2 linked regions of the Sus scrofa genome follow. The protein of the gene in region 2 interacts with the protein of the main gene of each other region in a pairwise test. Links are inferred from orthologs where the notes say so. Each region holds a gene or a part of one and is shown on either strand. Other genes may lie near its edges.

What was found. The genes of interacting proteins can lie anywhere in the genome.
Region 1: the proteins of KAT7 (region 2) and NINL interact in a two-hybrid assay, tested with the Homo sapiens proteins (2 studies listed by BioGRID and IntAct). The two-hybrid records come from large-scale screens. The link is inferred for Sus scrofa from reciprocal best matches to the Homo sapiens genes KAT7 and NINL.

What each region holds. Positions count from the first base shown.
Region 1 is NC_010459.5:31,113,655-31,121,070, forward strand, and holds part of NINL (ninein-like protein), read right to left. Parts: intron 6,812-7,416; coding exon 6,624-6,811; intron 5,962-6,623; coding exon 5,809-5,961; intron 4,469-5,808; coding exon 4,301-4,468; intron 2,445-4,300; coding exon 2,308-2,444; intron 622-2,307; coding exon 481-621; intron 1-480. UniProt on the Homo sapiens protein: Involved in the microtubule organization in interphase cells. Overexpression induces the fragmentation of the Golgi, and causes lysosomes to disperse toward the cell periphery; it also interferes with mitotic spindle assembly.
Region 2 is NC_010454.4:25,968,537-25,976,619, forward strand, and holds the start of KAT7 (histone acetyltransferase KAT7), read left to right. Parts: upstream 1-2,620; 5' UTR 2,621-3,229; coding exon 3,230-3,262; intron 3,263-5,751; coding exon 5,752-5,899; intron 5,900-8,083. UniProt on the Homo sapiens protein: Catalytic subunit of histone acetyltransferase HBO1 complexes, which specifically mediate acetylation of histone H3 at 'Lys-14' (H3K14ac), thereby regulating various processes, such as gene transcription, protein ubiquitination, immune regulation, stem cell pluripotent and self-renewal maintenance and embryonic development.

The DNA.
Region 1 (7,416 bases), on a different chromosome or scaffold from region 2:
ACACCCACAAACTGCTGTGAGTCTCCTTACTGAGCAAACACCTGCCCCCCTCCAACTGTCCGGAAACAGAGATCTCCCTTCTACAGGGGCTGGACGTTCTCAAGTGTTTTGGCCAATTAACCAGAGGTGGTTTTGTGTCCCTGAAAAAAGGATCAGAACTCCTTTCCTCTAGTCTGTCCATCACAAGCCCGACCAACTCACAGAGGTCTGCTCAGCTCGCCGCTGAGGACAGGCTGCAAAGCTGTTCCCCGGTCCACCCGTCTCACTGATCACAGTCACATGCAGAGGACTCAGACCTGAGAGATGAGCAGAGCAAGGCCAGTAGAGGACACTTTCCCTGCAGACGCTCATCACAGGCATACACCCAGAGGCCTCTCTTCCTAAACGCACCCTCTTCCCTCAAGGAAGGACATCAGCCAGGCGCTCCCTCTAGACTGCTACTGGCTCTGGTGAGACTGGAGGCCCTCCACTGGGACCCACCTGATCTTCTCCTCCGTGAGCTGCTCCAAGGTGCAGTGGCAGTCATCCATCTCCTTCACAAACTCCAGGTTCCTCTGCTCAGCCTTCTCCAGGTCCTGCCTGGCCTTGTCTCGCTCCCTGGCCAGCTGCTCCACCTTTCCCCTACAGGATGGAGGTGGGTCAGAGGGGACCCTGCTCTGGGCCCATGAACCTGTCTACAGGAATAAATACAGCTGGCCTGACAGGTGCTGAGCAGCAGCCAGTGCTGGGCTCTAACCAACCTCCGTCCAGAGCGGATTCTACAGTTTCTGTGCCTCTTCTACAGAGGCACATGCAGAGGGAGAGGCCAACTACCTCGCAAAGCGGTTTCTAGCAGGTTTATGAAGCAGCTTAGAGCATGCAGCACACCATGCCTCTGCACAGCCTCAGGACAGGCAAGAATTTATCTGTGCCCCCTCTTGCCTGCAGCAGGGCTCCCAACCCTGAGAATCCCCAGCACCTAACCTGGGACTGGACGCAGGAAGGGGAGAAGGCAGGCTAGCCGTTATCCCACCTGGTCTCAGCCCTGCCACCTGTAGCTGAGCATTCAAGTGTGTATGCAAGGGGTCACCCAGGGAAGGAGATTCCTATGCATGGCCCTGTCTATTTGGTCACCCAAGGCCCTCCCAGAGGCTCTGTGCAAACCACCTCCTGCACTAGCTATTCTTTTTTTTGGAAGTTCCTGGGCCAGGGACTGAATCTGAGCCCCAGCTGTGACCTATGCCTCAGTTGCAGCAACACCAGATCCTTAACCCACAGTGCTGGGCCAGGGATCAAACCTGTGCTGCTGTAGCAACCCAGGCCACTGCAGTCAGATTCTTAACCCACTGCGCTATAGCAGGAACCCCCTGCACCGGCTATTCTGGTAGCTATTTCTCCCACTAAAGAAGCATTGAGCTTTTTTTTTTCCCTCCCCTCCCAAAGCACAGTCTTTCTTTCTTCTCTGGTCCTGTGTGCAGAGCTGCCTGATGTCAGAAGGCTCATCTGTCAGACCTAATGAAATACAGTCTTGAGGATGGAGACTGTGATTCCTGCCAACCTTTTCTGTAGCCTCAGAACATCAATAAAAACACAAAAACAACCTTTATGCCAATCTGCTGAGTAGACGGAGGGCCTGAAATGTCAGCTCGACTAGAGCCAAGCCCAATTAAAATGTTCTTGGCCCAACATCACGCTGTGCTTTGTGACCATGTTGGAAGCATCCTTCCTCCTCCCACCAGCCTGGGAAGCCCTGGAAGCACCTCCCAGCCAAGTGGAGGCTGTGCCCACAGGCGGGGAGCCCCAGGTCAGCAGGATGAGTTTCAAGTTCACACAAGGGATAGAAAAACAACGAGGACCTTCTGCATAGCACAGGGGACCATGGTCAACATCCTGTGACAACCACAACGGAAGAGAATCTGGAAAGGAAAGTCTGTATACCCGAATCACTTTGCTGTACAGCAGAAACGAATAGAACATCGCAAACCAACTACACATCAATAAAAGAAACAATAAGATGTTTAAACCCTTCCCCTTGGAACTCTGTGAAAGGGGCTGAGTGGCTTTCCAAGCTTTTCACCAAGTGTGAGGGCTGGCTGGTGACCCTCAAGTTCTGTGGCCATAAAGCCCAAGCAGCAGCCACTGAATGGACACAGCTGGGAGCACACACACGGACACACACAGACACACGTGGCATTGGGAGCCCTCAGCAGCTCCCAGGGGCCAGCTGTCTCCCTGCCACCTGATCCAGGACTCGCCATTTGGGGTGGCCAGGGGTGGGCAGAGAGCCAGCCTGGCAACAGCACCCTGCATCCCACATGGGACTCTTACTGGCAGAAGCTCAGCTCCTGGCGGTAACAGGCCAAGGCTGCCTGCTGGGCGGCACCGTCCACTGTCAGAAGCTCGTTCTCAAGGGCCCAGGTCAGCTCCAAAAGGTTCACCTTCTCATCCACACTGAAGTCCAGGCTCTGTAACAGCAAGGCCATTGGCCAGGCAGGATGAGTGGGTCTCTAGATGCTTCCTGGCTCCCTAAGGACAGGAAGGCTCAGACCACACGGTCCCAGCACCTACCTTCTTCAATCTGCAAAGTCTCTGTCTCTTGGGCACAGCCCTGGCCCTACCCCTGTCAACAGGGGGGCCCCTTGCACTGTCCCTGCCTCAGGGGTGGGCATGACTCAGGCTGGATAGTATCCTCCTCCTTGGACAAAATGACAGATACATAGGGGGCATGTCCTAAGCAGAGGACACTGGGGACTGACAGAGAGGCTAGAGAGGGCCTCTTCCCTGTGAAATCAGTTGTTGTACAGCCCACGTGGCCATGGGGAGGCGGCCGCATAAGGGGCTTGAGGCCAAGGCCACCAGGAGGCCAGCAGAGTCCTGATAGCACGCGGAACGGCCCTCCCCCCGAATGACCACACAGGTGGCCCCCAACGTCCTCCTCTCCTCAAGCCAGTTTGAGTCGAGCTTTTGCTCTTTCGGACCCAAAGAACACTGACTAATCCATGTCTTAACCATGTGGACAGATGTGGGACTAGGCGAGGGTCCTGCTGGTGGAAACAGGATTTCTCAGAGACGAGCAGCCTAGAGAGTGACCCTCGCTCCAAGTGGGGCAGAAAAGGGAAAAGAATAGAAGAGACTTGTTTTATGCGTTTTCCCACAATAAGGAACAGGACAGGAACGTCTGTCCCGCTGGTAGCACAGAAACATGAACCATGTCTGCTCTTCCAGGGCCGGACGCTGATGGCTACGCATCCTGGACACACAGAGGTGCCGAAGGGGTTTAGGTAGAGCTCTGAGTGCTGTGTTGAGGGCGTCAGGGCTCTGCACAGAAGGCACAGGGTGGGGGGCTCCCCAGGCACCCAGGGGTCCCAAGAAGCCAGGTGTGCTGCCAGCATATCCAGGCTAAGGGCCCACCTAGCGGGCTCCCTCCCCAAGGGAAAGGCCTTTGCAGGCAGTCCCAGCAGGCATGGACCTGCTGTGTCAGGACACCCTGACCACTTGCCAGCGCCCGGGAGCCACCCTGTATCGGGAGAGACACCTGGGAGGCTCTGAGGGGTACGGTACATAAGGTCACAGGCTTGGTGGTCCCTGCTTGGTGCTGGGGTGCTCAGGGGAGTAACATCACTGCCTCTCAATTAAATGGAATCAAACCCTGAGCAATTGGAAAGTTATGTTGCTAAAGCGATGGGAATATTCTCTGACAGCAGGGGTGAGTCCTGAAGGGTCAGGGGCAAGGGAGAGACTCAAGGCAGGTCAGACCCTGATGCAGCCAACCTCCAATGCAGGGGATTAGAGCAGCATCTCGAAACCATGAGCCCCTCTCGCTTTGCCCTTCCTGGGGGCCCGTTTCAGTGACCTGGGCTCAGCCTCTGGTTGGGAAGGACGTGACTGACACAGGCCTCCTCGTACACAACCCGGGGAGGGAGGTCGGGGGCCACTGGGGAGAGCACAGCTCAGCTGGTGGGGCGGGTGCCCCAGGCGGGGTCTGGGTCACCACAGAGCTCATCCTGGGTAAGTGGAAATGCTCAGACCCAGGGAGTCATAGGGACACCCTTCCCTCCTCCAGGTCAGCAGATGGGCTCCGGGGGCTGAGTGTCTAAGACACCAAAACCTTCCTTCAAAGTGATTTGTTTCAGGCTATGGTTTTCTCTGCCATTTATTAGGTTTTTAGGTTAAGATCTAAATTTCAACATCAGAAAATTAAACAGTGATTATGATTGGCCTTCCCTACAAAGGGCCTGTGTCCACGAGGTGCTGTGTCCAGCCTCCCCTGTGCATGTGCCAGGGCACCTCTTTGGGGCAGCCTGCGGGATCCAGTCCAAACCTGTAAGACCTCTCTGCCATTGTGAACCCCCTCCTGCGCCCACAGGGCGATGATCTGCTCCGGGAAGGCGAAGCCGGTACCATCGTCCACGCTGCAGAAGAGGCGCGGGCCGGAGCACACGGACACGAGGGACGAGGTCGTGGTCTGGCCACCGCCCTCTTCAGAGACCTGCATGTGGGGACAAAGGCCTCATGTCAACCCCTTCCCAGCCTCACCACCTGTGCTTGGCTGGCGCATTCACACCAAGGCCTGAGCATAGCCCTGTTTCCTGCTCCAGGGACTAAAGGTGCTGAGGTGTGTTTGTGAAGCTGTGCAGGGGATGCCCCCAAGGTAATTTTTCCCCAAACCAGGAGTGGTCTCCCCGTGGCCTCGCAGAGGTGGAGGGAAACCCAATCTGTCCAAAGAAACCCAAGACAAGCTTCAGAAGAAGAGGCGAGATGGCCCGAGAAGTGGATTCAAGATAGGCCACTGTGGCTGAGTGGCCAGGAGCTTAAAGACAAGGGCAAAAACCCCTGGGCCCAGAGGGTGAACACTGAGTCTGCAGTGCTGCAAGAACCCACAAGGATCCCCTCCTGGCTGTGTTTCCTGCCCCAGCAAGGGCTGGACCCTTCAGACACACACTTGCTGTCGGGCCAGAACAAGGGGAGCCCCCTCTTCTCTGCAGCAGAGCCCCCCCGCACCAGGCCCACTGCTCCCAACTGAGCAGAAGACTCTTCATCTCAGCCCACATGTGAGGTACACCTGCTCCCACCATGTCATCACCTCCCAGGCAGGCATCAGCATCTACCTGGGAGGTGCTGACTCTGGGCACAAGTGTACATGGTCCCTGCTTCCAGGTGGCCTGACGCCAGCCCTCATCACTCTTGGTCCCTGTCCCCCACCCACCTCAGGCTTCAGATGCAGAAACCTGATTGAGTCTTGGTCATGCCAGCCCAACAGAGAACAGTGTCATCACCGCCACACGGCCACCCACAAACTCAGGATCACCAACGAGGCTCCCCAGGGCAGCAAGGCCCTGTGGTGATGGTGGGGGTGGGGTGGGGTCTGACTCTCCTGGGATTGAGAAAAACCAGATGCACCAAACAAAATCACAATGTAAATAACCACCTAAATCCTGTTCTCTTCTGGCTGGCATCGCAAAGGATAATATGTGGGAATTGGGGAAGGCACAGACCACCCATCAGTGACTGCCTGGTTGCACCACTGGGGAAGAGGGGGCGGTGGTCTTGCTGGAATGTAGCATACCCCGTCCTGGGTGCATCAGGGGGCTGCCGGGGAACCCTAAGACCCTTCATGAGGCCAGCGATGTGCAGTTAGGCAGCAGCAATGCCAGATCAGCCCACGATGTCCACCTCCCACCGCCAAGATGTGTGCACACGCCACCCCCACCCCCCCAACTTTTGGGCACCTGCCGTAGTGACCAGGCTGAGGAGCCAGGCCTACAAAATGCTGAGCCAGAGAGCAACAGTACTCACTCCAGGGTTTGAGAGTTAACTCTCTGATTTTACCTGGTAATGAGACCAGGACCCGTTCGGTTTGACAAGAATAGAAGATTCTAGAAGTTGAGGGGGCCCGTGATTGAACAGGCCAAGCTGGAATTCCTCCAGACTCACTCTGCCGTCCCCATCTCGGTCCAGCTTGTTGAACAAGTCTTCAAGTTCCTAAATAAAAGCCCACAGGCACCTGCTCAGAGGCTCCCCCACAGCAGCTGCCCCCCTCCCACAGCCCAATAAGCATGTGCTATCCTGTCCACACACTGTCCGAGTCTCCCTGGTCTCCTTGCTCTGGCCTGAGAAATCCAGACGCCTGGTCAGTCTCCATCCTGCTGTCAATGAGCACCTGAGCCTCCCGATTCCACAATCACCCAGTCCATGTCCACTGTGCAGGAGCTTGGATAGCGGGACATGTGTGCATGGAACGCGGCCTGGGCCCCCAGAGTCTTAGGCTCAGCTAGGGCAGGGCTGAGAGCATTTCAGCTCGGTGGGGCCCCCCTCCCCTAGGCCCTGCAGGAGGAAAGGGGTGAACACAGCTGCCAGGTAGCATAGCCAGACTGCGGGCACCACATGTGGGCTGGGCAGTAGACCCAGGCCCCGCAGGAGGGAAAGGAGTGCTCCAGGCAGAGGAAGAATCCTGCATGCAGGTGGCCAGGGCCACGTGTGGCCCAAGATGGGCCTCTGGTACAAGTCCTGGGAGTAATCACAGACTTTAGACCAGAAAGGGACAACTGAATCAGCATCTGAGGGTTAAGGGATTTCCAGGCCCACCACCAACTGTGACCACCACAAAAACCTGGCCCTTCAGGGCAGTCAGTCCACCCCCTCACCTCCTTCTGCAGTCCACGGAGCCCGACGCTCTGGCAGACCAGAGCCAGCTCCTGCTCGGTGAGGTGGCCACTACTGCCAACACCCAGCTCTTCCCAGATGTCCCGGACCCGGCTTTCAGGGGTATCAGAGGAGGGGCTGCAGGGCTTCCGGGGGTTCCCGAAGACCTCACTCCAGGCTGGCAGCTGACCTGAAGCAAGGGAAACACACCACTCTGATCAGAGGGACTGATGGGAGGGCAGAGGGACACACGGGAGATTTGAGTTTCAAAGGCAGATTCTAGGTGGTGGGTACATGGTGCTCATAATTCTTCCAACTCTTCCTACACAAATTGTCACAATAAAATGGGGGGAATGTCTGCTGTGCGTGGGGAAGGCATTTTCCAAAGGGAGCCTTCAAGGACACAGCACTGAAGCACATCTGCAATATTTGTACTTGCAATAAAAAGGCCAGTTTTTTGTTTTGTTTTTTTTATCTTTTTTGCCATTTCTTGGGCTGCTCTTGCGGCATATGGAGGTTCCCAGGCAAGGGGTTTAATCAGAGCTGTAGCCGCAGGCCTACACCAGAGCCACAGCAATGTGGGATCCGAGCCGCATCTGCGACCTACACCACAGCTCACGGCAACGCCAGATCTTTAACCCCCTAAGCAAGGCCAGGGATCGAACCCTCAACCTCATGGTTCCCAGTTGGATTTGTTAACCACTGAGCCATGATGGGAATTCCACTTATTTTTGGAGTACTCTTTGTGGCTCAGTAGCTAACAAACCCGACTAGGAACCATGAGGATGTGGGTTC
Region 2 (8,083 bases):
TGTCCAAGAGCAAAGCAGACAAAGTAGCAGGACTGAAATTCAAATCCAGATCTGACATCAGAGCCCAGTACTGGACACGAGAACAGCTGATGAATAAAATAAATAGGAGTTATGTTCCTATTACTTGTTTCGGGAGGAGTGAAACAGAACACCTACCAAACTGTAAAGTATATATAAATCAGTAAGTACAAACTAACATATCACTGTGCCCTACTACCTTAGAAAGAATACATCAGGAGAGACCTTCTGAAGAAAGCAAATTTTAAAGATGGTCGGGAGATGCATCAAGGCAGGAAGAAAAGCCTGTGTGAGAGCGCAAAGACAGGGAGAATAGTAGGACCACTTTTGCAAAGTCTGGCGGATGAGGATTGTCAGGGGCCCGGTCAAAGGCTTTAAACCAGCAGTTCGTGCATCACGAGCTAATTTCTGCTGGAGGGTATGCTCTTCAAGGACAAGGCATGTCTCAATGAAACTGTAAACTCTTTCGGTGTTAGCTGCAGTGTTTGAAAATGCAGTGCGAGGGATTAATGTGGAACATTTGTAATGTTGGTATTTGTATGATGAATGGCTAAGTCAGGATAAGATTTTATTCTCATATGCTAATTCCCAGGGAGGGATACTTCACCATCTTTGAGGGCTAGACATTCTGACAGTGTGAAACAGTAAACATATTTTGATTGAGGAACAAGAATTTACTATGGGTAGAGCACAGTCTGGCTGCCATTAAGGATGGTATAAAAGAAGAGAGATACGCTTTTTTTGTTGTTGTTTCGTTTTACTTTATTTTTAGGGCCGCACGCACAGCATATGGAAGTTTGAACATGGAAGTTCCACATCTGGGACCTACACCACAACTCATGGCCATGCCAGATACTTAACCCACTGAGGCCAGGGATGGAACCCACATCCTCATGGATACCAGTCGGGTTTGTTACCACTGGGCCACAACGGGAACTCCCGAGATATGGTCTTAACATAAGTGCTCTTTACCAGTAGTTGGGGAGCCAGAACACCCAAGAGTAACCTTGGGAACACCCGAGTAGGTGCAAAATAACAGTAATAGTGTGAAATTAAATAAGTTCTTTTGTGCAGTTCAACCTAAGTAGGCCATTTAAAGGTGTTTATGGTAAACATTAAAACCTAAATACTAACAGCTGCCTGTGTTATTACCAGCCCAGGATACACCCAAGGAGAGTGCTAAATAAGGGTCTGGAACTCTAATCCTTCTGAGTCCTCTGCTTAGCACAACAATCAGATGTTTACCTTCTGCTGCTTTGTTCTTTAGTTCAGCTCCAGGGGGAAATCTCCATCTTAGCTAGCCTCAGGTGAAACGGGCTCCAGGATCCTAACTTAATGACTCTTGGATTTTTTTTTTTTTTTTTTCCTCCCAGTCTCTGGGCAAAGCTTTACTCCACACAAGGCTTTTCTCCCAGCGAGGTTAAATCCTCAACGCTTGCTGTTCACTTCTCAGCCTTTTCTTACCGCTCTTCTGCCAACCTTACATCTTCCACCAACTTCTCCTTTCTAGGCAGCTAACATCAATGCCTTTCTGAGCTCCAGCTTTACTAAAAATATTCCTTCCTCTTCCTCCAACTCCTGACTCAAGCGTCTGGATTTCGAGAGGTCACTTGGGCTAATGGGGTTCAATGCTTTTCCAACTCTGGTACCGCGCACGCGCGCACACACACACACACACACTCATCCCGAGGGCCACCCAAGGCTCTCAAACCCATACAGGATGAGGGGACGAAGTGGGTGTGCTCACCACAGAGCTAAACTGGTAATTCTTTGGAGCAACAGTTTCTGGAGAATGGTTGTGTCTCCTTTCGCGAGTGAACGGATCAACATACTTGCGGTTCGCTAAAGGCAAGGACAATGTCTCCTCTACCAGACAAGAAACTTCTTCATGAAGGACGCTACCTTCTTTCTGTCCTTTCACAAGCCCCCATTCCCAGCACTGTGAGACACCGAATGGCTCTTAAAATAGTTTCTTGTGCAAAATAGCCCTTCCCAATTTTGAGTTTATGTGATAAAGGGAAACGTCCTTTAGCCAATTCGGCGACTAAGGGGTTAAACCTCAGCAACCTGATGGATTCTGGGGCTTTCTTTCCTCGACTTCAGAAATTAAAACCAAAGGGAAGGGAAATTTTGCCCATTGTAAAGATGAGAACTGTTAACTTCAACTGTCAGGCTTCTGCCCCAAACAGGAATGGCTACCCACGCCTACAGAGGATGCCATTCCCCTAACTAAAAATGGCGGGCCCCAGTTTCCACTGTCGCTGCCACTTTCTGCCCAATTCCAAAATGGCTCCCGCTAGCCTCACCGGAGGGGGAAACCTCCCAGAATCCTCTCTGGCCCTAACGTCAGGTGACGCAAGCCTCAGCCGGAAGTGGAGGAAAAAGCGCCTCAGCCCGCGGCGCCTGCGCAGAAAGGTCTAGACGCTGTGAAGCAGGAGGCACTTGGGATCGTCCGCAGGATTGGGACTGCTACAGAGGCCGCCACGGAGCCCGCCGGAGCCACCGTTCCCACTGCTGCTGCCGCCGCTGCCCGAATCGGAACCGTCGGGCCGCAGCCGCCGGCAATGCCGCGAAGGAAGGTGAGAGGAACGGGACAGGAGGGATGGCGGGTTTCTAAAGGGCAGTCGATTGAGAAGAGTGACGCAGTTGGCCACGCCTCACAGTGGTTGGGTTCCAACTTCCCGCTTCCCTGAACCTAGCTCAGCAACCCTCGCTTCTGTCCATACCCAACAGAAAAATGTGGGCCCGACTGTGGCCTCGGCCTATGCTTGCACCTATTCCCGCCCTCTGCTTGCCTGGCTCGGAGGCGTTCTTCTCGGCAATTGGTCGCTGAAACGTCTAGAAGCATGTTGATTGGCTGGCGACACCGCCCATTTGGGCCCAACGGTCACCTCCCCGCGTGTGGGGGCGGTGTCTAGGCCCGGCTCTACCGCTCTCCGACTGGATGTAGAGAACGATCCCTCTTCTCTTGATTGGCGGGGCTTGGCAGTCTGTCCTGTGGGGGCGCGGTTTAGCGGGACCGCGATTGGGTGGCACGAGTCCCCTCCCATCCGTATGGTGATGCTCATAGGAGGAGAGGCGGGGTTTGGGGAGTATCCTTCCTTTCCCCGCGGAGGACACAACAAAGCAGAGGACTGGGTGGTAGAGAAGCAGCGCCCACTCCCGAGGGATCCCTTCCAGGCCTGTTGCACCTAAGCTGCGGTTTTCCCTTATGTGCTTAGTTGGACAGCGCCTAGAAAATGAAGTTCGTAAATCGGAAACTTCCTAGAATTAAATGGGACTTGACGATGTCATCTAGGGACACCCCCATCCCTTTTCTCAGCTAAGCAGAGGCTTAAGGGAGTGCCCCAAGCCACTCAATTAGGCAATGACAGAGCCTGGACTACAGGACAAATCTAATTCAGTTCAACAAACGTTTATTGACTCTTCGCTATGTGCTGGTTGCCGAGGACTCGAAAATTAATTAGACATGATCACTGGCTTAAGGAATCAGAGTCTGAGAGGAAAACAGACATTTAAATAACTGTAGAAGGGTTTAGTAAATTCTCTACTTGGCAGTAATAAAGATTAATGGGAGGGAAGTGGAGCAATTTAATCTGCTCTGGAGTAAGATGGGAAGTAGTTGGTGAAAGCAGTAGAGGAGAGCTGAGCTCCAGGGTCATGCCAGGAAGGGATGGGCAGAGATGATTAGGGATTCAAATAGCTGGGTAATTGGATTGGATGACCTTTAAGACTCCCCTTTCATCTTAATTTTTGGTGATTCTCTGTGGATCCTCCACTCATTTCCTGGCAGATTATCCTTGAAATATTTGGAACGCTGGGTGGTGGTCTTGCTCATTTCTGCAGAAATCTTTCTCTTCACAGAGGCTTTCAAATATTTACATTTTTTAATGTCTCCAAAATGACCTACATTGATAGGTGGTATTTATGTTAAGGCTCACCAAATAGTACTGGTGTCTTGGAATAGGCCCACAGTCTCCTTTTTGCAATCCCCAAGTACAAAGAGTTCTTGAAAATGTGTGTTTTTTAGTAACTTATTTCTTGGCAGAACCTGTTCTAAACTGTTCTGAGGCTATTTACAGTTTTTGTGTCTCATTTAGTGTGATTGTACATATATTTTGCTGCAGAAAGGGTGTTATTTGCAGGATGTATGCAGACTATTCCTTTCTAAAAAATTATGAATTCTAAACACATCTGATCCTAAGGGGGCTTTTTGTTTGTTTTTGCTTCTTGTATGTTTTTTTTAAGCAAATGCATCTCTCTTTATGGTTTAAAATTTTTTTTGCTTTTTTTTTTAGGGGTGCATCTGTGGCATACAGAGGTTCCCAGGCTAGGCATCAAATCAGAGCTACACCTGCTGGCCTACGCCACAGCCACAGCAACGCAGGTTCTGAGCCACATCTGAGAGCTACACCACAACTCACAGCAATGCCAGATCCTTAACCTGCAACCTCATGGTTCCTAGTCGGATTCGTTTCCTCTGCACCACAGTGGGAACTCCTCTTTATGGTTTAATAAAGGGTATGGTGTTAGCATAGGAGGGTACCCCAACCCTTCTGGCTTTGCTCTAGGATTCCCTGGGAAGGAAAGAAAGTTGGAATTTAATACAGAAAGCTGATGATCAATAGGTGATAATAAGTTGAGGGAGAAAATGTAACATACTTTGAGCACTTAAATTGTGCCAATTTGGTTACTGCTGTATGAGCATGCTGCAAAATGGGAGAAAAACTTCTGTTTTTTCAAACAAGTGTTTAATGCTTAATTGATAAAAGTTATCTTTATGGTTAATTGTGTCTCTGGAGGCTGATAATTGACAAATAATATTAACTGTAAAGGTGATTTTAAAAAACCTTCTGTTTTTGCATACCCATGTGTCTTCGTTTGCAAACCACTCCCTCCCCCCTTTTTAAAAGCACTTTTGGGGTACATGTGGAGAAACTTCAAAGGGAGATGACATAAGTAAGAAGAATTACTATTTTTCTCCCTAAGTTTGAGATCAGAGTTATAGACCATGATATTTTGAATCAGTGTGTGGTTTTTAATTCATTTTATTTTTTTATTTTTTGGTTTTTTTTTTTTTTTGCTTTTAAGGGCCATACCTGCAGCATATGGAGGTTCCCAGGCTAGGGGTCTAATCAGAGCTACAGCTGCCAGCCTGCACCACAGCCACAGCAATGCAGGATCCGAGCCACATCTGCAACCTACACCACAGCACATGGCAACACCGGATCTTTAACGCACTGAGCGAGGCCAGGGATCAAACCTACAACCTCATGGTTCCTAGTCGGATTCGTTTCCGCTGAGCCACGGTGGGAATTCCAGTGTGTGGTTTTTAAAAATGTAATAGCTGTTTATGTAGACTTTGAGCAAAAGCTACTCCAGAATTAAGTGAGGCTGTCACTAACATTTTTCTCTTTACCCTGGACTTTGTATAAGTGCATTGTTATGTCAGCCAGACTATTTTGAGTTCTGTATTTTCCAGTTTCCAAATCAATTTGTTTCAGAACTAATGATGATACAGTAAGAATTAATTCTCTTTATTTATTTAATAAAGATGCACTATTCGTAGGTTGTTCCATTTAAATGCTCTAAATGAAGGGAAATTGGCTGTGGAGTCCTTTCTTAGATTTGAGCTTGGTGTTTTCAGCATCACAGTTTGTTTTATTTCCAGTGTTATTTCACACCCACGGAGTTAATGTTTCTGTGCTAATGTCTGGATCTATGGTGTTACAGAGGAATGCAGGCAGTAGTTCAGATGGAACCGAAGATTCCGATTTTTCTACAGATCTCGAGCACACAGACAGTTCAGAGAGTGATGGCACTTCCCGGCGATCTGCCCGAGTCACCCGCTCCTCAGCCCGGCTAAGCCAGAGTTCCCAAGGTAAAAGGCCGCTTCCTTCTTCCTGATCACACCTCACAGCTCACTGGTCATCATGTTACTGTGCTAGTTCATGTGGAAACTGGTCCCTTGACGTGATGCTGATGACAGAATCTGGTACAGTGCAGAGCAAATGACTGCTAAAGTGTCAGGTCCTTAAGGATGGTTCTGTTGGGGGTCCTGTCCAATTGTAGACCCGGAAGAACTATCTCTGGTATGGTACATTTGTGACACCTGTATGTCTTGAGTCTTTTAATTTTTTATGGATTACAGTTTCCCTATAAAATGAGAATGGTATCTTTTCACTTTTTGTTAGAATGGCCTAGGAACTTGATAAAGTGGTGTCTCGAATGTGCTATTGGAGGAGGCCTAAGACCTTTAAAACCATGTTTAATTTTGTACTATAGTCAGGTGCACAATCAATACAGATGACCCAACTATCAACTATAATAGTACCCAGAATTTTGCTATGGTAGTAAAGAATAGAGAATCTCGGTGTTGGAAGGTTCTCTAGTACAGTTAGCCATCTGGTCTTAGATTTGGAGGGTACCCACTGTCTTGGCTCTGCTCTGAGATTCGCTGGCAAAGAAAGAAAGTTGTGAGTAATACAGAAAGCTGATGGTCAATAGGTGATGATAAATTAAGCGGGAGAAGTATACTCCGAGCACTTAAAAGTGCTGATTTTTTTTTTGCTGCTATATGAGTGTGTTGCAGACTGAGGGAGAAACATCTGTTTTTTCAAGCAAGAAAGTGGGAACATTCTCTCTGTGGTTATTCCTAACTTTATCTTTGAATTTAATATTTCAGCTGAAGTATAGATAATTGTCTCTTGATTTCTCAACTTCTACGTTTGTATTTTGGGGCATAATGGGAATATTGATAAACGGTTGCTATAATTCAGGTATTATGCAACATAGTGGGATACTGTGATAGAAAAATCGGAGTTCCTGCCCTCAAAGAGCTCACAGTGTAATGTGGGATGTCAACTCTTATGGCAACGCATTGTGCTAAGGGCTGCGAGAGAGGTTTGCATAGAGTGCTGTGGAAGCCTAGAGATGGAAATCTTTAAGGATCTAGGAGGAATTTACAAGTTGAAAGACAAGAAAGTGTTATTATAGGCAGAGGGTACAGAACATGCAAAGGAATGGGCATAAATGCTCTTAGTATAAATGGCCATGCCAAAGTTCCTGTTGTGGCTTAGTGGAATGAACCTGACTAGTATCCATGAAGACAAGGGTTTGATCCCTGGCCCCGCTCAGTGGGTTAAGGATCTGGCATTGCTGTGACCTGCGGTGTAGGTCGAAGACATGGCTTGGATCTGGCGTTGCTGTGGCTGTGGTGTAGGCTGCCAGCTGCAGCTTGGATTTGACCCCTGGATGTGAACTTCCAAATGCCACCGGGTGTGGCCCTTAAAAAAAAAAAAAAAAAAAAAAAGCCATGCCCTGGTCACCTGAAAGTTATAAATATTCAGAACAGATAGGAATTACATGAGCTCTGAGTCTTTTTCTAATGACTGTACTTCATGAACACTGAGTGCCACAATGGGAGGGCACTGTTCTCTATGTGGTCTCTGTAAGGGGGCCCCCTCTAAAGCAAAAAGTAGACTGCATTGTAAATGGAACCCCCTGGAGGCATGCAAACTGAAAACCTAGCTGTGTGCTAGCTCTTACATGGGAATTTGAGAATTTCAGGGGTTTTTTTGTTTTTGTTTTTTGTCTTTTTAGGGTCACACCCATGGCATATGGAGGTTCCCAGGATAGGGGTCTAATCAGAGCTATAGCCTCTGGCCTACACCACAGCCACAGCAGCCACAGCAACGCCAGATCCGAGCCACATCTACAACCTACACCACAGCTCATGGCAACGCTGGATCCTTAACCCACTGACGGAGGCCAGGGATCAAACCCGCAACCTCATGGTCCCTAGTCAGATTCGTTTCTGCTGTGCCATGATGGGAACTCTGAGAATTTCAGTTTTCTTCATTAAAGAATTAGGATTTTTTGTTTACATAACATATTAGGGTTTTTTTTTTTTTTTTTTTTGGCTTTTTGCTTTTTGCTTTTTAAGGCCATACCCGCAGCATATGGAGGTTCCCAGGCTAGGGGTCCAATCGGAGCTAGAGCTGCCGGCCACAGCCACAGCCACAGCAACCTCATGGTTCCTAGTCAGATTTGCTTCTGCTGTACC